Linked DNA regions of Saccharomyces cerevisiae S288C. The protein of the gene in region 2 interacts with the protein of the main gene of each other region in a biochemical or structural test. Each region holds a gene or a part of one and is shown on either strand. Other genes may lie near its edges.

The links.
Region 1: the proteins of TUB1 (region 2) and KIP2 form a complex in vitro, tested with the Saccharomyces cerevisiae proteins (one study listed by BioGRID).
Region 3: the proteins of TUB1 (region 2) and YCG1 form a complex in vitro, tested with the Saccharomyces cerevisiae proteins (one study listed by BioGRID).
Region 4: the proteins of TUB1 (region 2) and SHE1 form a complex in vitro, tested with the Saccharomyces cerevisiae proteins (2 studies listed by BioGRID).

What each region holds. Positions count from the first base shown.
Region 1 is NC_001148.4:255,972-262,286, reverse strand, and holds KIP2 (Kip2p), read left to right. Parts: upstream 1-2,950; coding exon 2,951-5,071; downstream 5,072-6,315. Other genes in the region: serine/threonine/tyrosine protein kinase RAD53, read left to right, coding at 1-560; PEP4 (proteinase A), read left to right, coding at 1,356-2,573; pheromone-regulated protein PRM4, read left to right, coding at 5,520-6,315. UniProt on the Saccharomyces cerevisiae protein: Required for assembly of the mitotic spindle.
Region 2 is NC_001145.3:95,985-101,569, reverse strand, and holds TUB1 (alpha-tubulin TUB1), read left to right. Parts: upstream 1-2,169; coding exon 2,170-2,194; intron 2,195-2,310; coding exon 2,311-3,629; downstream 3,630-5,585. Other genes in the region: YML083C (uncharacterized protein), read left to right, coding at 520-1,776; ALO1 (D-arabinono-1,4-lactone oxidase), read left to right, coding at 4,199-5,585. UniProt on the Saccharomyces cerevisiae protein: Tubulin is the major constituent of microtubules, a cylinder consisting of laterally associated linear protofilaments composed of alpha- and beta-tubulin heterodimers.
Region 3 is NC_001136.10:1,114,871-1,122,109, forward strand, and holds YCG1 (condensin subunit YCG1), read left to right. Parts: upstream 1-2,255; coding exon 2,256-5,363; downstream 5,364-7,239. Other genes in the region: small subunit rRNA maturation protein UTP4, read right to left, coding at 1-1,893; YSP2 (Ysp2p), read right to left, coding at 5,739-7,239. UniProt on the Saccharomyces cerevisiae protein: Regulatory subunit of the condensin complex, a complex required for conversion of interphase chromatin into mitotic-like condense chromosomes.
Region 4 is NC_001134.8:159,115-164,430, forward strand, and holds SHE1 (She1p), read left to right. Parts: upstream 1-2,584; coding exon 2,585-3,601; downstream 3,602-5,316. Other genes in the region: RIB1 (GTP cyclohydrolase II), read right to left, coding at 1-579; HEK2 (Hek2p), read left to right, coding at 1,070-2,215; ADP/ATP carrier protein PET9, read right to left, coding at 3,927-4,883.

The DNA.
Region 1 (6,315 bases), on a different chromosome or scaffold from region 2:
TGTATGAATCTCCGGCACAAGGTTTAGATGATATTTGGTATTGCCACACCGGAACTAACGTGAGCTATTTAAATAATAACCGCATGATACAGGGTACGAAATTCCTTTTACAAGACGGAGATGAAATCAAGATCATTTGGGATAAAAACAATAAATTTGTCATTGGCTTTAAAGTGGAAATTAACGATACTACAGGTCTGTTTAACGAGGGATTAGGTATGTTACAAGAACAAAGAGTAGTACTTAAGCAAACAGCCGAAGAAAAAGATTTGGTGAAAAAGTTAACCCAGATGATGGCAGCTCAACGTGCAAATCAACCCTCGGCTTCTTCTTCATCAATGTCGGCTAAGAAGCCGCCAGTTAGCGATACAAATAATAACGGCAATAATTCGGTACTAAACGACTTGGTAGAGTCACCGATTAATGCGAATACGGGGAACATTTTGAAGAGAATACATTCGGTAAGTTTATCGCAATCACAAATTGATCCTAGTAAGAAGGTTAAAAGGGCAAAATTGGACCAAACCTCAAAAGGCCCCGAGAATTTGCAATTTTCGTAACCAAGGACAAATACCCATAGAAAATGCTGCCCCTTTTTAAGAGAGAAGATGGTAGATACCAATACTCAGAATTCATCTATTCATAACTTTTTGGGTTTTTATTACATATAGAGTGACGTTTTGATACGATTTACATTTTGAAATATATAGATTTTTGTATATTAATAAGTTTTGATTTTCAGTTTTAGTTATGCTTAATGAATTTTTGAATCAGAAAAAGAAGTTCTGAAAAAAACATAATCCTGCTTGATGTGGTACAACAAGCTCATAAATAATTTTAAAAAGTTTGTTAATCCGTTTTCAATATCTTGAGCTCCTCAATTGTATTTGCTGAGGTCTGATTATTTCTATAACCAAAAGCGGTTATTGAATCTATGGAGAGGCTGTAACCCGTCTTATGCCTTCCGGGTACTATATTTCATTTGCGGGTGTCGATGGATTAAGGGGCGGAGGCGGCCCTTTTTAGGATTTATATAAAAAGCCATACTTCCGTACTTCGTAACCTCTTATCAACTGGTTAAGGGAACAGAGTAAAGAAGTTTGGGTAATTCGCTGCTATTTATTCATTCCACCTTCTTCTTTTTTGAGCGAAGCCTTTATAATCAAATTTTAGTGGTCTTTTCTATTTTTATTTGAGAAGCCTACCACGTAAGGGAAGAATAACAAAAAGTATATCTCACCCTACTGTATTCATAAAAAGTTTTTTCTATTAGAATTCTATAAGAAAAGAAAAAAAAAAAGCCTAGTGACCTAGTATTTAATCCAAATAAAATTCAAACAAAAACCAAAACTAACATGTTCAGCTTGAAAGCATTATTGCCATTGGCCTTGTTGTTGGTCAGCGCCAACCAAGTTGCTGCAAAAGTCCACAAGGCTAAAATTTATAAACACGAGTTGTCCGATGAGATGAAAGAAGTCACTTTCGAGCAACATTTAGCTCATTTAGGCCAAAAGTACTTGACTCAATTTGAGAAAGCTAACCCCGAAGTTGTTTTTTCTAGGGAGCATCCTTTCTTCACTGAAGGTGGTCACGATGTTCCATTGACAAATTACTTGAACGCACAATATTACACTGACATTACTTTGGGTACTCCACCTCAAAACTTCAAGGTTATTTTGGATACTGGTTCTTCAAACCTTTGGGTTCCAAGTAACGAATGTGGTTCCTTGGCTTGTTTCCTACATTCTAAATACGATCATGAAGCTTCATCAAGCTACAAAGCTAATGGTACTGAATTTGCCATTCAATATGGTACTGGTTCTTTGGAAGGTTACATTTCTCAAGACACTTTGTCCATCGGGGATTTGACCATTCCAAAACAAGACTTCGCTGAGGCTACCAGCGAGCCGGGCTTAACATTTGCATTTGGCAAGTTCGATGGTATTTTGGGTTTGGGTTACGATACCATTTCTGTTGATAAGGTGGTCCCTCCATTTTACAACGCCATTCAACAAGATTTGTTGGACGAAAAGAGATTTGCCTTTTATTTGGGAGACACTTCAAAGGATACTGAAAATGGCGGTGAAGCCACCTTTGGTGGTATTGACGAGTCTAAGTTCAAGGGCGATATCACTTGGTTACCTGTTCGTCGTAAGGCTTACTGGGAAGTCAAGTTTGAAGGTATCGGTTTAGGCGACGAGTACGCCGAATTGGAGAGCCATGGTGCCGCCATCGATACTGGTACTTCTTTGATTACCTTGCCATCAGGATTAGCTGAAATGATTAATGCTGAAATTGGGGCCAAGAAGGGTTGGACCGGTCAATATACTCTAGACTGTAACACCAGAGACAATCTACCTGATCTAATTTTCAACTTCAATGGCTACAACTTCACTATTGGGCCATACGATTACACGCTTGAAGTTTCAGGCTCCTGTATCTCTGCAATTACACCAATGGATTTCCCAGAACCTGTTGGCCCACTGGCCATCGTTGGTGATGCCTTCTTGCGTAAATACTATTCTATTTACGATTTGGGCAACAATGCGGTTGGTTTGGCCAAAGCAATTTGAGCTAAACTTTTCTTACTTCTCCGCCCTATCCTTTTCTGCCATCTAGAGAGCTTTTATAAGTAGATAACAATAAAAAAAACTATAGTATATTTAAAAAAAAAAAACAAGACAAACCATCTTGTCCTCAGTTTTAGAATCCATTGTTCTATGCTGCTGCCCATAATGTCATTATATGCGGGTAGCCCGATGATGCGGCTCGAGAATTTCCTTGTTTATCCTTTTCCAATAGCGGAACAATTGATAATAAAGCAATGTAAGCAGAAGCGAAAAATAAAAAGAAATAGGCTGCAGAGATTCACAGGCTGCGCTCTAGAAACATTTGAAATCAAGGCAAACATAGAACACTTGATAAAATTCTTACCATAATACCACCATTGATGATTCAAAAAATGAGCCCAAGCTTAAGGAGGCCATCAACGAGGTCTAGTTCTGGTTCAAGTAATATCCCACAATCGCCCTCTGTACGATCAACTTCATCGTTTTCTAATCTGACAAGAAACTCCATACGGAGCACCTCTAATTCGGGTTCTCAGTCGATTTCTGCATCTTCCACTAGAAGTAACTCCCCACTAAGATCCGTATCAGCCAAATCCGATCCCTTCCTTCACCCAGGTAGGATAAGGATCAGGCGGAGCGACAGTATTAACAACAACTCGAGAAAAAACGATACATATACTGGGTCAATCACTGTGACCATCCGGCCGAAACCACGGAGCGTTGGAACTTCCCGTGACCATGTGGGGCTAAAATCGCCCAGGTACTCTCAACCAAGATCCAACTCACATCACGGTAGCAATACATTTGTTAGAGACCCCTGGTTTATTACTAATGACAAAACAATAGTGCATGAAGAAATTGGAGAGTTCAAGTTCGATCATGTTTTTGCTTCCCATTGCACTAATTTGGAAGTTTATGAAAGAACCAGTAAACCAATGATTGATAAGTTATTGATGGGGTTTAATGCCACCATATTTGCGTACGGTATGACCGGGTCAGGTAAAACGTTTACAATGAGCGGAAATGAACAAGAGCTAGGCCTAATTCCTTTATCTGTGTCGTATTTATTTACCAATATCATGGAACAATCAATGAATGGCGATAAAAAGTTCGACGTTATAATATCGTACCTCGAAATTTACAATGAAAGGATTTACGACCTGTTAGAAAGCGGATTAGAAGAATCCGGTAGTAGAATCAGTACTCCTTCAAGGTTATATATGAGCAAGAGCAACAGCAATGGATTGGGCGTAGAATTAAAAATCAGAGATGACTCTCAGTATGGGGTCAAAGTTATCGGTCTCACCGAAAGAAGATGTGAAAGTAGTGAAGAATTATTGAGGTGGATTGCAGTTGGTGACAAAAGTAGGAAAATTGGCGAAACTGACTACAATGCAAGAAGCTCACGATCTCATGCCATTGTACTGATTCGTTTAACAAGTACTAACGTAAAGAACGGCACCTCAAGATCGAGTACATTGTCGTTGTGTGACCTAGCAGGTTCGGAAAGGGCTACGGGGCAACAAGAGAGGAGAAAGGAAGGTTCATTCATCAACAAATCCTTACTTGCTTTGGGGACTGTGATATCCAAACTCAGTGCCGACAAGATGAACTCAGTAGGCTCAAACATTCCCTCGCCATCTGCAAGTGGCAGTAGCAGCAGTAGTGGAAATGCTACCAATAACGGCACTAGCCCAAGCAACCACATTCCATATCGTGATTCTAAATTGACTAGATTATTGCAGCCGGCACTAAGCGGTGACAGCATAGTGACAACGATATGTACAGTCGACACCAGAAATGATGCGGCAGCGGAAACTATGAATACGCTGAGGTTTGCATCAAGAGCGAAAAACGTCGCACTTCATGTATCCAAAAAATCCATCATCAGTAACGGGAATAACGATGGAGATAAAGATCGCACCATTGAGCTACTGAGACGCCAATTGGAAGAACAACGTAGGATGATCTCTGAATTGAAGAACCGTTCAAACATTGGCGAGCCCTTAACCAAATCTTCCAATGAAAGTACTTATAAAGACATTAAAGCCACCGGCAATGATGGTGATCCGAATTTGGCTCTAATGAGAGCGGAGAATCGAGTATTAAAATATAAACTAGAGAATTGTGAAAAACTACTAGATAAAGATGTGGTTGATTTGCAAGATTCTGAGATTATGGAAATTGTAGAAATGCTTCCCTTTGAGGTCGGCACCCTTTTGGAAACAAAGTTCCAAGGTTTGGAATCACAAATAAGGCAATATAGGAAATACACTCAAAAACTTGAAGACAAGATCATGGCGCTAGAAAAAAGTGGTCATACTGCAATGTCGCTAACTGGGTGTGACGGCACTGAAGTGATCGAATTACAGAAGATGCTCGAGAGGAAGGATAAAATGATTGAGGCCCTGCAGAGTGCCAAACGACTGCGGGATAGGGCTTTGAAACCACTCATTAATACACAGCAATCACCGCACCCTGTCGTGGATAACGATAAATGATTAGGTGAGGGTCCCAGATCTCGGGTGCTTTTTTCCTTGTGCGGATTGTTCTGTAGACTGCGCCTCCGCTTGCCCGGCGCTTGCCTTGAACGGGATCTATTCTCAGAAGACAGCGCATAAAAGGCAGTTTTTAGGCACTTCTCGTTAAGAAAATACACAAATAATGGATTTACGAAGTTCGTTTCAGTGTGGTACCAAAAAATTTGGCATCAGCTAATAAAGATCAAGAAGTTTTGGGGTTGTTTCGAGTCTGTCTCGGCCTTAATTGTGCAGGTACTAAAGGGATTAATATATAAAGATTGTTAAGGCCAAGTGACTGAAACTTGCAAACGTCTTTGAATCAGGCTTATCTCTTAAATACTTATATATATGTTCTTTTATAGACTTCATAATCTCTTGTTCCAAGAACAGTAAAGAGCAATTAAAAAAAGGAAAATAACAGTTAAAGATGATAGCGGATTCATCAGTTTTGAAAAAGCACACAGCAATCAAGAGAAGTACGAGAATAATATCGCTAACACTCGTTTTGCTTGGCGTATTTAGCTTCTTACTACTTACATGGAATGACTCCTTGGAATTCTACAACTCTGCTGACCCTAGCGAAAACAAAAAAAATAGTGAGGAAGAAAGTGAAAAGAAGTTCGTTTACAAGTTGCCAAACTTATTAAAGACAGCAGACAGTTTTCTAAGTAATGAAAATGAACTAAATTTCCAAAAAGTCAAAGAAGAAATTTCAAATATTCAAAGCGAGGTTGAAGTCGACATCCCAGAACCCTCATCCAAAGCTACATCAAAATTTTCTTCAAGATCGTTCCAAACTGATAATGTCGTGACGGCGACGACCACAACAACACTAAATCCACGGTCATCTTCTCTGGCCTTGCAGAAAAACTGCGATCACAAAAAATTCGACCCTAGAACAGATTTTCTAGATATAATAAGAACCTCTCCAGCGGTATTATTCATTAAATCATCACAAGCAGACTCCATTTTCTTAAAAAATCTATTACAAAGAGAATTTGAGATTTCACCCGAATTGGCCACTGTTGATTTGGAAAAACACTCTCATGGCTATGAATTAGAAAAGTATATCAAACAAAATAAACTAAATATCGATACTAGTGCTGCCTTGGAATCCATTCAGTCGCCTTATTTATTTTTGAATGGTATTTCCGTGATAAATCGTGGAATGGTGAGAGATATAATCGAACCTCATTCGAAGGGATTGCTACTACCTCTTCTAA
Region 2 (5,585 bases):
CTGTCTTTAAATCGAGGGTATCCGCACCGCAGTTCGTGACCTGTGCCTGCGTTATGCGAGAGCAAAAGGGCCCTTAACGAGCCGGCACCTAAACGAAAATTTCAAGGGTTTTTTTGGCGGTGCCTAATAAGGAACGCGCAGAACAATAGACCCTGCCGGTAAACGATGGCCTTGCAGTCGTATACTGTTAAAACTGTTGAGTGGGTGAATGGCAGGGCCTAACTGCTTGCCTAGGAGTACCGCAGGAACGGTACGAATCGAGTGGAGACAGCAAACCTTGACGTGTGCTTGCTTTTAAACGGGTCGGAGAATTTACTCTTGAGCATATACGTGTGGGCATATGCATACAAATATATAAATACATTCGGGTGTATACGTAAATATATAAATATATAAAGTAACATATGTATATAAAGACGAAAGATTGAACGCCATCGTGGAGAGGGTTTTCGTATGAAGGTGCCTTAAGTCTTGTGTAGAAGTAGTTCTTTAGTTAAGATAGAACCTGGTAAAGACTCAATGGACTATTTACATGTATATAACAACAACCAGGCGCACGTTCCCAGAACACCTCCAGGCAGGCAGTGCCTATCGCCCGTTCTGCCCCCAATCATATTGGCGTTAGATCAACAACATTCGCTGACATTTGGGTACTCCAGCCCCAGGTGCTTGCCAACACCCATATTGCCTTCTATGAGCACAAATACGCCCGTCCATTGGTCACAACAGGTTGTCACTATCCCTGTCGCTGTACGAAATCATGCCGCAATGATGCCTATTATCACACCTATGACCTCCCCAAGACCTCAGTTTGAAGCAACGGCTCCCTCACCCCCTTTGGCCCCGGTCGCCATAAAGCTGCCAGATTTGAAACTACCACCGTCGCCTGTGCCCAGCACAGTAGAGGACAGAGTTTCACATCCTATCCTGCCCAAAATTGTGATCGGGAATGGCGGCGGCCGTGATGTTGAGCGAGATAGTACCGAGGAATTAATTAGGAAGATTCCAAACTACATTGGTTGTGCAAAAACAAAGGCACAATTGAGCAAAGTTAGGTCTGGTAAACAACTAATTGCATGCGCACAGGAATATCACCATCCAGTAAACAAGGACGAGATCGAAAATATCAACAACATTCTAAACTTCAGGGACTTTATTTTCAAGCATCCAAAATCCTCCTTCGAGTTCCTATGTACCCTGTCGTTTGAGCAGTTCGTTAGAGTATATTCATTCATTAGTTTCATCTACAGGACAAAGAAAATCAATAAGAACAAGTACGAACTCGTTTGTGAGATGAATGTTCACGAGCAACTCAGCAATAAGCGTATACAAAGAACAAGGACTCCTGAAAAGTACAAAATACATTTGATCTGCGAGTCAAAACTCATACTGACCTTCAACCACTGTACGAAGACAGTAAAATTTGAGTCTATCAATGGCGGGCACTGCCATCCGATTTCAGCCAACCACATTATCAAGCCCTCCCTCTTCCTTACCCACTGCATTAATAAATGCTACCAGACCGTGTCAGACCCTACCGATTTGAAATTGGCATTGAGAGACGCCTTAGAAGCCCTTGATCATGAAAGGATAGGATTGTCTTTCTTAAAGAGGAGACATTTCAAGTGCTCACACCAAGCATCATCACTCTCGAATGCCAGCGCCACATTGAAGAAACAAGAAGATCATGACACATTTGGTGTACATACAGGAATAATTCATACGGCAAATTTCTTCATGTTTAATGCATCTAGCGATATATTCCAGAGGAACTAACATATATAAATATCTGTATCCTTCTTTAAGAAAACACAATTGCATACTTTTTCCATTATAACTGACTGTTTCAGATCCTGCAATAGAAAGTATTTTTTAAGTAATGAAATAGTGCTTCCATTGATAGTAAGTGAGTAATAAGACGATCGGAAACTATTAATATAAGTATAGTTTACATATATATATATATATATGTGCCAGACGATAATATCACCGTAGTTTCCGGCCGGGTTATGCCACGCGAAAACGCCTCGAGCCAAGGGAAAAACTAAACTACAAAACAAAACAAAACAAAACAAAAACATCTACTATATCGTTTTACCCAATTCAGTATATCCGTCTACAACAGTTCTCGCCACCCAAGATCTGTAAACTTACAACTGCAAACAAACAATGAGAGAAGTTATTAGTATTAATGGTATGTTCGATTTGCCCGTCCAGGCTAGATCTTTTTTTTGTTAGTTCATTTTGGCGTTTCATCTTTCATTACTAACTTCAACGCAAAATTTTTTTTTTTTTGATTTCTCTTTACAGTCGGTCAAGCTGGTTGTCAGATTGGTAATGCCTGTTGGGAATTATATTCCCTTGAGCACGGTATTAAGCCGGATGGACATCTAGAAGATGGCCTTTCAAAGCCGAAGGGAGGAGAAGAGGGTTTCTCCACGTTTTTCCATGAAACCGGCTACGGTAAGTTCGTTCCAAGGGCTATTTACGTGGATTTAGAGCCCAACGTTATTGACGAAGTCCGTAACGGTCCTTACAAGGACTTGTTCCATCCAGAACAGTTGATCAGTGGTAAGGAGGACGCGGCTAATAATTATGCAAGAGGCCATTACACCGTTGGTAGAGAAATTTTGGGCGATGTTCTGGATAGGATTAGAAAACTGGCAGACCAATGTGATGGGTTACAAGGGTTCTTGTTTACCCATTCTCTTGGTGGTGGTACTGGTTCCGGTCTAGGGTCCTTACTGTTGGAAGAACTATCCGCTGAATACGGTAAGAAATCCAAGCTGGAATTTGCCGTATACCCTGCTCCACAAGTGTCTACTTCTGTGGTTGAGCCTTACAACACAGTTTTAACTACACATACTACATTGGAACATGCAGATTGTACTTTCATGGTCGATAATGAGGCTATTTACGACATGTGCAAAAGAAACTTGGATATCCCAAGACCAAGCTTTGCAAACTTAAACAACCTAATTGCTCAAGTGGTATCATCTGTTACAGCATCATTGAGATTCGACGGTTCATTAAATGTAGATTTGAACGAATTTCAAACCAATTTGGTTCCATATCCAAGAATTCATTTCCCCTTAGTTTCATATTCTCCAGTCTTATCCAAATCAAAGGCATTCCATGAGTCCAACTCTGTGTCAGAAATTACAAACGCTTGTTTTGAACCTGGTAACCAGATGGTCAAGTGTGATCCAAGAGATGGTAAATACATGGCTACTTGTCTGTTATACAGGGGTGATGTGGTAACAAGAGATGTTCAAAGAGCTGTCGAGCAGGTGAAAAACAAGAAGACCGTCCAATTGGTTGATTGGTGTCCAACTGGTTTCAAGATCGGTATTTGCTACGAACCTCCAACTGCCACACCAAACTCACAATTGGCCACTGTGGATAGGGCCGTCTGTATGTTGTCAAATACCACATCCATTGCTGAGGCTTGGAAGAGAATCGATAGAAAATTCGATTTAATGTATGCCAAACGTGCTTTCGTCCACTGGTATGTCGGTGAAGGTATGGAAGAAGGTGAATTCACCGAAGCTAGAGAAGATTTGGCTGCTTTAGAAAGAGATTACATCGAAGTGGGTGCCGACTCATACGCTGAGGAAGAGGAATTTTAAGGTTCACTCTCGCCCCCAACCTCCTTATCCTTTCTATATTTCAAGTATATTGTAAAAAAAAAAATTCCCCCTACTGTTATATCTCTTTGGTGATATCTTATCTATAATCTACTTATTATATTTCTCTAATATCTATGTACAAAAAATAAAAAAAAAAACCATTCTCCTTCTCTAACCTGCATTTGATGAAAGCTTAGTAAGTCTCATCGTAGTTGATGGGCCAAAGACATTTGTACTTGTTTCATCAGATTCTTACATCACCCATTTCCATGATTATTTCACGGATTTCATTAGTAATTGCATTTTTGTATCCCTAGTTCCTTTTCTCCCGCCTTGCCGTCGAATTGAAAAAAAAAATGGAAATGAGGACATCTTCCATTGATATCCAGGACAAAGCAAGAGTAGAAGTAACTATTAGCAAGGAGAATTCCAAAAATAGTGAACTTCAAGGTAAGCAGATCTATAGTTTCAATATCTGATTTTCTGCTTTTCAAAACTTAAAATTCATTAGAAGGTAAAACAAGAACCCGTAAAATTAAAGTTACCGATATTATCAGGTTTTTCACCCCATGTCTACTATCCCATTTAGAAAGAACTATGTGTTCAAAAACTGGGCCGGAATTTATTCTGCAAAACCAGAACGTTACTTCCAACCAAGTTCAATTGATGAGGTTGTCGAGTTAGTAAAGAGTGCCAGGCTAGCTGAAAAAAGCTTAGTTACTGTTGGTTCGGGCCATTCTCCTAGTAACATGTGCGTTACTGATGAATGGCTTGTTAACTTAGACAGATTGGACAAAGTACAAAAGTTTGTTGAATATCCTGAGTTACATTATGCCGATGTCACAGTTGATGCCGGTATGAGGCTTTACCAATTGAATGAATTTTTGGGTGCGAAAGGTTACTCTATCCAAAATTTAGGCTCTATCTCAGAACAAAGTGTTGCTGGCATAATCTCTACTGGTAGTCATGGTTCCTCACCTTATCACGGTTTGATTTCTTCTCAATACGTAAACTTGACTATTGTTAATGGTAAGGGCGAATTGAAGTTCTTGGATGCTGAAAACGATCCAGAAGTCTTTAAAGCTGCTTTACTTTCAGTTGGAAAAATTGGTATCATTGTCTCTGCTACTATCAGGGTTGTTCCCGGCTTCAATATTAAATCCACTCAAGAAGTGATTACTTTTGAAAACCTTTTGAAGCAATGGGATACCCTATGGACTTCATCTGAATTTATCAGAGTTTGGTGGTACCCTTATACTAGAAAATGTGTTCTATGGAGGGGTAACAAAACTACAGATGCCCAAAATGGTCCAGCCAAGTCATGGTGGGGTACCAAGCTGGGTAGATTTTTCTACGAAACTCTATTATGGATCTCTACCAAAATCTATGCGCCATTAACCCCATTTGTGGAAAAGTTCGTTTTCAACAGGCAATACGGGAAATTGGAGAAGAGCTCTACTGGTGATGTTAATGTTACCGATTCTATCAGCGGATTTAATATGGACTGTTTGTTTTCACAATTTGTTGATGAATGGGGGTGCCCTATGGATAATGGTTTGGAAGTCTTACGTTCATTGGATCATTCTATTGCGCAGGCTGCCATAAACAAAGAATTTTATGTCCACGTGCCTATGGAAGTCCGTTGCTCAAATACTACATTACCTTCTGAACCCTTGGATACTAGCAAGAGAACAAACACCAGTCCCGGTCCCGTTTATGGCAATGTGTGCCGCCCATTCCTGGATAACACACCATCCCATTGCAGATTTGCTCCGTTGGAAAATGTTACCAACAGTCAGTTGACGTTGTACATAAATGCTACCATTTATAGGCCGTTTGGCTGTAATACTCCAATTCATAAATGGTTTACCCTTTTTGAAAATACTATGATGGTAGCGGGAGGTAAGCCACATTGGGCCAAGAACTTCCTAGGCTCAACCACTCTAGCTGCTGGAC
Region 3 (7,239 bases), on a different chromosome or scaffold from region 2:
CTCTTTTAATGTCTTCCATTCTTTTGGTAAGTTATCCGTATTGTTTTTTGACCATTGAGTTAATACGCTTTCGCTATCTTCATTCTCGGCTTCCGAATTCAAATTCATATTGAATTCATAAATCTTATTGTCTGCAGTAATTACTACTACAGATTTTCTAGAAGTATTGATATGAACAGCGGTGATGAAATTATTCAAACGAGCAAGTGGTTTAGAAATCCTTGCTTTTAAGTCTAATATGTCTACGACTCCACAGCCACGAGAAATTACTGCAATGTTCTGGTCTACTTCCAAATGGTTGATCCTGTTAATATAGGGAACTTTGATACTGCTCTTAGTTGAAGTAACCTCCAAAAGTTCAACTTCTTGCGGTTTTTCATCTTCTTCAGATTCTAGATCCACAATAAATACATCATCTTCGCAAGAGCATATGACAATTTTGGAATTATCGATGAACTTGACTAATTTTGTGGAAGTTCTCAATAATAGGTCATTATCTAGTTTAGTCACTTTCAATTTATTACCTACGGGCTGTAAATGAAAAACTTTAGTGGTAGAGGGCCTCCCTACGACTAAAACTTGTCCATCAGGTGATAAAGAACAAGTTGAGATATTCTGGTCATCTTTTAAAGTTAACTTGCAAACTAGCTTATAATTCTGTTCTGTACTAGAATCGGTTCCCATTGTCCATATCTTAACAGTAGATTCGCTCCATGAAACAACAAGGCGTTGCTCTTTGTTAACTAAAACATTCTTTGAATAAGGTTCGACAGTTGGCATCTTCCTGTAGTTTCCATTAGAAAAAGAAGTAAGTGAGTTGATGACTAGTGTTTTTTCAACACCTCCTGAAACTAGAAAATCTGCACCTTTAGATTGGTATGCACATATTGCTCTAATGTCGTTTCCATGAAGCAACCTATTAGAAGAATTTACCCATCTGTTGTTCTTTTGAGATTTGTTAGTGTTTTGAGAAAATTGAAAGATTTTTCTGTCCACACCAGCACTAAAAACATAATTATTATCAGTATCGGTAGTTAGACACAGTACGTCTGCATCGTGCGCCTTAAATGACTGGTTTAGCGTGGCAAACTGGAAATCCCAGAATTTAATGGAGCCTGTAGAATCACCAGAGGCAATCTGATCAGTTCTTGGTAAATATATAACTGACCAAACTAGAGTTGATTCTTTTTTGGCCTTGTCGACCTTCATAGTGTGTAATAGACGACCCATGTTTTCGTCATTTTTTTGTGCAGACCAAATCCTTATTCTACCATCAGAACAACCACCAATCACGAAGTCATCCTTTTTCCAAGCCAAAGTCAATACTCTGGCTTCTTGTCTCATCAAAATAGTATCGTGTTCCAAGACACCAGGCCCGCCAGAGATATCTATGAGGACCACCGTCCCATTATCGCAACCCACAGACAGCTTGTCTTGTGAATCGTTGATGGAAATAGACCATATCACACCTGAATTGCAATCATAGTTTCTTAATGGTAAACCTGTTGCTAAATCCCATTCTGTTACCACAGTCGAGCCGCCAATAGAAAATAGCCTTAGAGACTCGCCGTTAACGTTGCTCCAGCAAAGGCCTTCAATTGATCTGTCTTTGCCACCTTCGATAACCATTTCCTGAAACCAATTGTTTCTAGGATTCCAGATTTCTATGTTACCATTAGATCTACCAATAGCTAATCTCAAATCGGACGGAGTTAACTTATTTATATTTGATTTATGTGAAAATGCTAGAGATGTGATTGTGGCAGGAGTGAAATCCACAAATCTGCATCTATGCACTATCATCCTTTCCTGACTGGTCATCTTCACCGGTTTGTTTCGTATTTTCAGGCTTCTTGACTTTTCTTTTAAAACTGAAAGTAGCGATGAGCTCATTCGTAGCTTTTTTCTTGTCAGTCTGAAAATTTTTCATTTGGTTTTTTGAAAAAAATCCTGCCTAATATGGTATCAAGAGGAATAACAAGAAAAAAAAATCATGGGGGATACAAAGGAAAACAAGGAGATAATGCAGGTTATACTGAATTGCTCATAGTATTAGCCTAAAGCACTTTACCTCTGATTTATTGCATCTATCGTATTCTTGAGTTATTGCGACTTTTAAAATCCGTGCACCGCATATGAAAGGGTAGAGCCTTCGTGTTTGTTTACCTTTTTAGCTCTTTGAAGATCAAACAAAAACACTTCAGTAATGCCTACAGCCTTGGATAAGACAAAGAAGTTAACAGGCCGCGCCCATCATGCAAGATCCTGATGGTATTGACATTAATACGAAAATCTTTAACTCAGTTGCTGAAGTATTTCAAAAGGCACAGGGTTCTTATGCAGGACACAGGAAGCATATAGCAGTTTTGAAGAAAATTCAGTCAAAGGCTGTTGAGCAAGGCTATGAAGATGCTTTTAACTTTTGGTTCGATAAATTAGTTACTAAGATCCTTCCTCTGAAAAAGAATGAGATTATCGGAGACAGGATAGTAAAGTTAGTAGCTGCATTTATAGCTTCTTTAGAAAGGGAGTTGATATTGGCCAAAAAACAAAACTATAAGCTCACGAATGATGAAGAAGGGATATTCTCAAGGTTCGTCGATCAGTTCATAAGACATGTTTTGCGTGGTGTGGAAAGCCCTGACAAGAACGTCAGATTTAGAGTTTTACAGTTATTAGCCGTTATAATGGATAATATAGGGGAAATCGATGAATCACTTTTCAATTTATTAATATTGTCTTTAAATAAGAGGATTTATGATAGAGAACCAACGGTTAGGATACAGGCTGTGTTTTGTTTAACTAAATTTCAGGATGAAGAGCAAACTGAACATTTAACTGAGCTTTCTGATAATGAAGAAAATTTTGAAGCTACGAGAACTCTAGTTGCTTCTATCCAGAACGATCCGTCAGCTGAAGTACGGAGGGCTGCAATGCTGAATTTGATCAATGATAATAATACTAGACCGTATATCTTGGAGAGGGCTAGAGATGTAAACATCGTTAATAGAAGGCTCGTGTATTCGAGAATTTTGAAATCAATGGGAAGAAAGTGTTTCGATGATATTGAGCCGCATATTTTTGATCAATTGATTGAGTGGGGTTTAGAAGATAGGGAATTATCAGTGAGAAATGCGTGTAAGAGACTCATTGCTCATGATTGGTTAAATGCTCTGGATGGCGATTTGATAGAATTACTAGAAAAATTGGATGTCTCAAGATCCTCAGTGTGTGTTAAGGCTATAGAAGCACTTTTTCAATCAAGGCCAGATATATTATCTAAAATCAAATTTCCTGAAAGTATTTGGAAAGACTTTACCGTAGAAATTGCCTTCCTCTTTCGGGCTATTTATTTGTACTGTTTGGATAATAATATAACAGAAATGCTGGAAGAAAACTTTCCAGAAGCCTCAAAATTATCCGAGCATTTAAACCATTATATTCTTCTCAGATATCATCACAACGACATTTCTAATGACTCTCAGTCGCATTTTGATTATAACACTTTAGAGTTTATTATTGAGCAACTATCGATTGCCGCCGAAAGGTATGATTATAGCGATGAGGTTGGAAGGAGATCGATGCTTACAGTGGTACGAAATATGCTGGCCTTAACTACACTCTCCGAACCTCTTATTAAAATTGGTATTCGTGTAATGAAAAGTCTGTCCATAAATGAAAAAGATTTTGTAACAATGGCAATAGAAATCATTAATGATATTAGAGACGACGATATTGAAAAACAAGAACAAGAAGAGAAAATAAAAAGCAAGAAGATTAATCGCAGAAATGAGACTTCCGTCGATGAAGAGGACGAAAACGGCACACATAATGACGAAGTTAACGAGGATGAAGAAGACGACAATATTTCATCCTTCCATTCTGCTGTAGAAAACTTAGTGCAGGGAAACGGCAACGTATCTGAGAGTGACATAATAAATAATCTCCCACCCGAAAAGGAAGCGTCCTCAGCAACAATTGTTCTCTGTCTTACAAGGTCATCATATATGCTAGAACTAGTTAACACACCGTTAACAGAAAACATTTTAATTGCGTCGTTGATGGACACTTTGATCACACCAGCGGTTAGAAATACCGCGCCAAATATTAGGGAGCTTGGTGTCAAGAACCTTGGTTTATGTTGTCTCTTGGATGTGAAGTTGGCTATTGATAACATGTACATCTTAGGTATGTGCGTTTCGAAAGGTAATGCATCATTAAAGTATATTGCGTTACAAGTCATTGTAGATATTTTTTCCGTACATGGGAACACTGTGGTAGACGGAGAAGGCAAAGTTGACTCAATCTCGTTGCACAAAATATTTTACAAGGTTTTAAAGAATAACGGTTTACCGGAATGTCAGGTGATAGCAGCGGAGGGTTTATGCAAACTATTTTTGGCAGACGTGTTCACTGATGATGATTTGTTTGAAACGTTGGTTTTGTCATATTTTTCGCCGATAAATTCCTCAAACGAAGCGCTGGTACAGGCATTTGCCTTCTGCATTCCAGTCTATTGTTTTTCACATCCTGCTCATCAACAACGTATGTCTAGGACGGCTGCGGACATACTCTTAAGACTATGTGTTCTTTGGGACGATTTACAGAGCTCTGTAATACCTGAGGTAGACCGTGAAGCTATGCTAAAGCCTAACATAATATTTCAACAGTTGCTATTTTGGACTGATCCACGTAACTTAGTTAACCAGACAGGTTCAACAAAAAAAGATACAGTGCAGCTTACATTCTTGATCGATGTGCTCAAAATATACGCTCAAATTGAGAAGAAAGAAATAAAGAAGATGATCATCACTAATATAAACGCTATATTTCTTTCTTCTGAACAAGATTATTCTACTTTGAAAGAACTTCTTGAGTATTCTGACGATATTGCAGAAAATGATAATTTAGACAATGTTAGCAAAAATGCTCTGGACAAGCTAAGGAATAATTTGAATTCGCTGATTGAAGAGATCAATGAAAGGTCAGAAACTCAGACAAAAGATGAGAACAACACTGCGAATGACCAATACTCGTCTATTTTGGGGAATTCATTCAATAAATCTTCAAATGACACCATAGAACACGCTGCTGATATAACTGATGGAAATAACACAGAATTGACTAAAACAACTGTTAATATTTCGGCAGTTGACAATACAACAGAGCAAAGTAACTCAAGGAAAAGAACGAGATCAGAAGCGGAGCAAATTGACACATCCAAAAACCTGGAAAACATGAGTATTCAAGACACGTCAACTGTAGCAAAAAATGTAAGTTTTGTTTTACCTGACGAGAAATCAGATGCAATGTCCATAGATGAAGAAGATAAGGATTCAGAGTCTTTCAGCGAGGTCTGTTAAAATTGATATGCGAGCTCTTCATCTATTTAAGTTGATTTTTTGGTTGTAAACATATTTGTATTTTATTCTTAGGTTTGTTAATTCTTCTACGCTTACCAGATATAGATGCTATATGTTATTGCATTACGCACATTACCCGGTGGGACAAATTATGGAAATATTCCAAGGCTATAAATTCTTTGGTGAAAGGAACTGAAATTATGTCCAGTAATGCACCAGAAATGGACATATAAAACTATTAATGCATTTTATTACAATTATCCTAAGAAAATATCCTATATATAATTAAAGTAAAAGAAATAAGATCAAAAGAACAAAATAAAGTCGAGTAGAATTTTCCTACTTGACTATATTAGAACGAAAAATGTTATTTTATCAAAGTAATTGGTTAGTAGCCGACGTGTTATCCGTTTGGGCCAATAATTCTTTCATTTCTTGCAGCTGCAATTCGGTGATTTTTATAGATTCAACTAGCTGCTGTATTTTATGATCACTAACTCCATTTACGAGCTTAACCTTCTTGTTATTACTCTCCTTAATATGATTGGACAAGACACTATTTTGAACGGTTCCATTTCCACGATCTATCAACCAGTCCCATATGAGACCCTCCGTATCGGTGACTATGTTATTTTTATTCGAGTCTTTACGGCGGGCATCTTTTATAATATTATCTTCGTAAACATGATAGAGTGTTTTAAAATTAGGAACGTAATTATATTCATTTCCATTAATTAAGATTGTTCCTGGAGTAATAATCTGGATGTTCGAAGTATTCTTAGAATGGAATAATAATCTAAAGAAGAAAATCAAGCAAATAAAAAAAGAGATAATTGTCATAATTCCTTGAACGGATGTTATGTTTACTTGTTGTAACATTGAGAAAGCGGAAAAAAATGAATTTTTGGTACTTGTATCTTCGAAGTTTTCTTCATTCTTCTCATTCTTGATAGTGGATGGTGATGATTTCCTTTTATTTACCGTCTTTCCTCTTCTCCTCGATTTTTTCTTCGTTGAACTAGCATTAGAAATTATTTTTTTGAGATCATCTACGAGTTGCTTTGTTGAACTTCTTTGTCCATCAATTGAACCTTTCTCAATGGTTCCTTTCAGCATTGATTTACCTGTCCAGACAACATTGGTGACAACTTTCATGTTCGTTGTGTTGTGATCACCCCAGGAATAGAAAAATCTCGTATGTACTGAAAATGAACTACCGTAAGGAACATCCGGAGATCTGACTATTTGTTTTACCATAAAAAAACTGTTCAAATCCATATGCTCGATGGTCTCTGTGACTATACATTTAGTTTGCTTCGGACCGAATGAATTGTTCAATTTTTTGGTATAGGTGATCTCTCTTGCGTTATTCACAAACTTTGGAATATCACAAACATTAAAGTTATTCTGGTTTTCGATGATTTTCTTAATATATGATGTGTCATCACCATACAATAGTGAAAACACTGTTCCTAAAGGAACTGGTATATTAATTTTTTCATCGATAACTGTATCGTCTTTTCCTTTTTGAAAATCAGGTTCCGTCGGATCATGAACTGGAGGTCCAATAGTTGGCAGATTAATAATTTCTTCTTCTGATTCATTATTGCTGGCTTGATGCTTTGAGTTTATGTTTGAGTCTTCATCACTTAAGATTTTCTTAATTTCAGATATCATTATCTTTGTGGTGTCCGCAACACCATCAAATGTTCCCTTTTCAATCATACTTTTGATCCAACTTTTACCAGTCCAATCAACAGAATTGTAAACTGTTAATTTGGTGGAGTTGTTTTTATCCCAAGAGAAAAGGAAAACAGTTTTCACTGAAAAGATATTCCCTGAAGGAACATCCGGGTTCTTGGTAATACTGAGCACT
Region 4 (5,316 bases), on a different chromosome or scaffold from region 2:
ATACACGATAACACCATGGCCGTTTCCACCTTTGATGTTGCTTGTGGGTTCGTGGTCGCAAGCGATAAGCCTACCGGCCCTATCGAATTGTTCACCACAATCACAACGGGCGCTCCATGCGTTTTCACCGGTGTAACATTCAGAATGGATCCGTACCAGCGTGTCGTTATGGGCGTCCCATGTAGTGGCTTTGGAAGCTAATAACTCACCTGTACTATCATCAAACTCCAGAGCTAATCCGAGTCTATCGTCTTCGTCTGCCACAGTTCTGCCGGGATACAGTTTGCCAATATAAGCGCCCCTGATCATTCTATCTTGTTGCGTCTCGCACTGTCTTCTACGGAATAGCGAGCGCGACCGTATGTCTTCACCAAACACAATGGCTAGATGTTCCTTGTTGTCCCTGTTGTTACTGTAAAGATGTAAAAAGATATCCGGACCCTGTGTGGTTGGGATACGAGCTCTTGCGACACATTGTACTAGAGGCAAGCCGCCATCGCCGTTCCTGCCATCACCCGTACCACTAACCTCGTATTTGCTGCTATCCTGTTTACTGTTGTCGTAGTTATCTATGGTCATCCTGTAGGTTTGTTGTAGTTTTATGTACGCCACTTTTTGTAATGACTCAATTATTGTCCACGCCAGCACAGCAACTTCTTTATATATACTATAGCGGCGCTGGCGCTCACCCCACAAGAGCGTCCGACTAATTTCTGACAAATCGTAAAAAGAAAAAGAAAAACTCAAAGGAAAAAGAAAAAGTCTCACCCTACACAACTTGTTTTCAAAAACGGTATAGACCCTACTATTTCTGTTTTAGCCCTATGCTAAGTCTAGACATTACCCTATCCCTTTTAACGAAAGCCCTTTTGTTTTTTTTCTGTGTGTCCGGCCGCTCAGCCAAACAACAAACAAGACTATAATCTGGAGCATAAGTACCCGAGCATATATAACTACTTGGCATACGAAGTAAAAGCATATTGCTCCCCACTCCTATCGCGCGTCCCCTGTACAACAAAGCATCAACTTATCGGGTAACTTAGAGACAGCATTAGTATATATACCAGCCATGTCACAGTTCTTCGAAGCTGCTACTCCCGTTGCAATTCCCACAAACAATACCAACGGCGGCTCCAGTGATGCCGGCAGCGCCGCCACTGGCGGCGCCCCCGTTGTTGGCACCACCGCTCAACCCACCATCAATCACAGGCTTTTGCTGTCATTGAAAGAGGCTGCCAAGATCATTGGCACTAAGGGCTCCACCATCTCACGCATAAGAGCTGCAAACGCCGTCAAGATCGGTATTTCTGAAAAGGTGCCCGGTTGCTCTGACAGGATCCTGTCCTGTGCTGGGAACGTAATCAATGTGGCCAATGCCATTGGTGATATTGTTGACGTGCTTAACAAACGGAATCCCGAAAATGAGGACGCAGCTGAGGGCGAAGCGGAAGAGCACTACTACTTCCACTTTTTGAACCATATTTTACCAGCTCCCTCAAAGGACGAGATCAGAGATCTGCAGCAACTGGAGGACATCGGTTATGTGAGGCTCATTGTGGCCAATTCCCATATCTCATCGATTATCGGGAAAGCAGGCGCCACCATCAAGTCCCTGATCAATAAGCACGGCGTTAAGATCGTGGCTTCCAAGGACTTCTTACCTGCTAGCGACGAGAGAATTATCGAGATCCAGGGTTTCCCAGGATCCATCACCAATGTACTTATCGAAATTAGCGAGATCATCTTGAGTGACGTTGACGTCAGATTCAGCACAGAAAGATCTTATTTCCCTCATCTGAAAAAGTCCTCCGGTGAGCCAACTTCCCCTTCTACCTCATCTAACACTAGGATCGAATTGAAGATTCCAGAACTGTATGTAGGCGCCATTATTGGCCGTGGAATGAACAGAATTAAGAATTTGAAAACTTTCACAAAAACCAATATTGTCGTGGAAAGGAAGGATGACGATGATAAAGACGAAAATTTTAGAAAATTCATAATCACAAGTAAATTTCCTAAGAATGTCAAACTTGCTGAGTCCATGCTTTTGAAGAACCTGAATACTGAAATTGAGAAACGTGAAAACTACAAGAGAAAATTGGAAGCTGCCGAAGGAGATGCCACTGTTGTTACTGAACGCTCTGATTCTGCTTCTTTCTTGGAAGAGAAGGAAGAACCTCAAGAGAATCATGATAACAAAGAGGAGCAGTCGTAGTATATACGTGTGCGTGCGCACGTCCCACACAGACAAAACAAACTATCATCTTAACGAATAATGTTGCATCATTACTAGTTTAAACTGTATTTTTATTAAAGGGAAAAAAATGATTCAATATGTATATATTTATTCATGTATATGTATTTTGAATTAAAAAAAAACGTTTTATAAATACTCAATAAAGCCGTTGTATTTTCTTTATTACTATCGAAATTCTTGCTTTAAACATTTCGCGCATCGCCGGCTAGAGGCACAGAGAGGGAAGGGGAAAATAACATGAAAAAATCGTAAGTTTCTAGGCAATGGTATAAACAAATAAACAATAAACATGCAATTACAGCTCTAGAACACATATTATCTTCATGGATGAATGATAAACTCCAAGAAGAGCATAACGAAAAAGACACCACTTCACAAATTAATGGTTTCACGCCGCCGCATATGAGTATAGACTTTCATTCAAATAACAATAGCAATATCATCGAGACTATTGGCGTTTCCAAAAGATTAGGAAATTCTGTATTAAGTGAACTGGATTCTAGAGCTAGCTCAAAATTTGAATTTTTAAAAGATCAATCCGAACAACAATACAACGGCGACAAGAACAATGAACCAAAATCGGGCTCGTATAATATTAATGAGTTCTTCCAAGCAAAGCACGACTCTCAATTTGGCCAGATGGAGTCGCTAGACACACATTATACCCTTTTACATACGCCCAAGAGAAAGTCACAACATGCAATCCCACAGGATCGATCGGATTCGATGAAAAGGTCGAGACCGTCCCGCTCAATTCCATACACTACACCAGTGGTAAACGATATCACAAGAAGAATACGAAGATTGAAATTACGGAACTCATTGGTTAATGGTAATGACATAGTGGCTAGAGCGAGATCTATGCAAGCAAATTCTAACATTAATTCAATAAAGAACACACCATTGTCAAAGCCCAAGCCATTTATGCACAAACCAAACTTTCTAATGCCCACTACGAATTCTTTGAACAAGATCAATTCCGCTCACCGTAATACATCCTCCTCTTCGACAGCTTCATCGATACCAAGATCTAAAGTACACAGATCGATATCAATAAGAGATTTACACGCCAAAACCAAACCGGTAGAACGCACGCCAGTTGCGCAAGGAACAAATTCGCAATTGAAGAATTCAGTTTCCGTTTTTGATAGACTTTACAAGCAAACAACGTTCTCTAGGTCGACGTCTATGAACAACTTATCGTCAGGAACCTCTGCAAAATCCAAGGAACACACAAATGTAAAGACTCGGTTGGTTAAAAGTAAGACAAGTGGTTCATTGTCCAGTAACCTTAAGCAAAGTACTGCCACCGGCACAAAGAGTGATAGACCTATTTGGCGGTGATTAAGTAATAAAAAAATTGCATTTTATAAGAAACATCATGTGATGACATTTAAAAAGTGGGAAAGAATACTACTAATATAAAACTATTTACTGGATATTTAGAATTTTTTTTTTTTCTTCTTTATACGTAAAAGTTGTTCAAAAAATTTCATCGTTTTCTTTTTTTATGAATCTTTGATTCTTGTTGAAAAGAATTTCTAAAAAAATAGGAGGATAATAATATTATCAAAACAAATCGTGTCACTCATTAAACACCAAAAATCCAAAGAAGAAAAAAAGGAAAATGTGAGAAAGAATTTAGATTAAGAATCAAGCCAGATTAGACTTATTTGAACTTCTTACCAAACAAGATCATTTGCAGTTGGTCGTACATTGAGATAACACCAGCACCTGCGACACCTCTTAAGATGTTAGCACCACAACCCTTGAATAGAGAACCAACACCTTCAGCAGCAACAATCTTCCTCAAACAGTCAAAGGCACCGTCGTACTTAACAGCTTGACCGGAGGTCATCATCATTCTTCTTCTAACGGTATCCAATGGGTAAGAACATGTAGAAGCACCAGTAGTAACAACCCAACCCAACAAGAATGAAGCCAAGAATGAACCTTCCAAAGAACCAGTCAACAATAGAGGCTTCAAAGAATCGTACATACCGAAGTATAGACCTCTGTAGACAACAATACCAACGACAGAAGGTAAGAAACCTCTGTAAAGACCAGCAACACCATCAGATTTTAAGGTCTTCTTGTAGACATCGATCAAACCGTTGAATTGACGAGCACCACCCTTTTTAGAGGACTTGGAGTCAGCAGCCAATCTAGTTCTTGCATAATCCAAAGAGTAAACAAATAGTAATGACAAGGCACCAGCAGCACCACCAGATGCCAAGTTACCGGCAAACCATTTGGCGTAACCTTCTTCCTTCTTGAAACCAAACATGGCCTTGATCTTGTCCTTGAAGGCGAAATTCAAAGCTTGAGTGGGGAAATAACGGATAACGTTAGCAGTGTTACCTCTCCAGAATGAGATAACACCTTCCTGTGTAGCGGTTCTCTTGAAACAGTCTAAGATACCTGCGTATTTTCTGTCCAAAGTACCTTGTTTTAACATTTCATCTTGGTTTTGGATCAAAAGTTTAACTCTTTCGATGGGAGATGCAGCAGTTTTGGCGACAGCGGCACTGACACCACCCATTAAGAAATCAATCAAAAAGTTAGATTCCTTCTTTGGAGCTGGGGCTGGAGGTAATGGGGTTTTGACTTGGGCGTTGGAAGACATGGCTATTTGCTTATATGTATGTTAATGTATGATTCTGAAGTATAAAAGAGCACACAAAAAAGAACAACGACAAATATAAATAATATAGAGGGGCTCCTTTGACTTGTAGATGTATTGCAATGTTCCGTATAACTAACAGTGAATATATACTTTTTTGAGTGGGTTGTCGTGAAAAATTAATATTAAAAACTCAAATGGTATTTATATTGTGCGACGACGTGGGCCCGATCGACGGAGACATGTCCCCGATAATCGCACCTCACCCTCTGAGAGTGGGGCCTTCTCATTGGCCCGCGCTCTACACCAATCAGCATAGCGCATTTACCGCCTTTCGCTTGTTCTCCATTGGAAACAGTGCTCGTGCATCGTGATGTTATTTGTTACGTATGGAAAAATCGTGTCTATACTTCTGTATAATATATGTATGGTTATA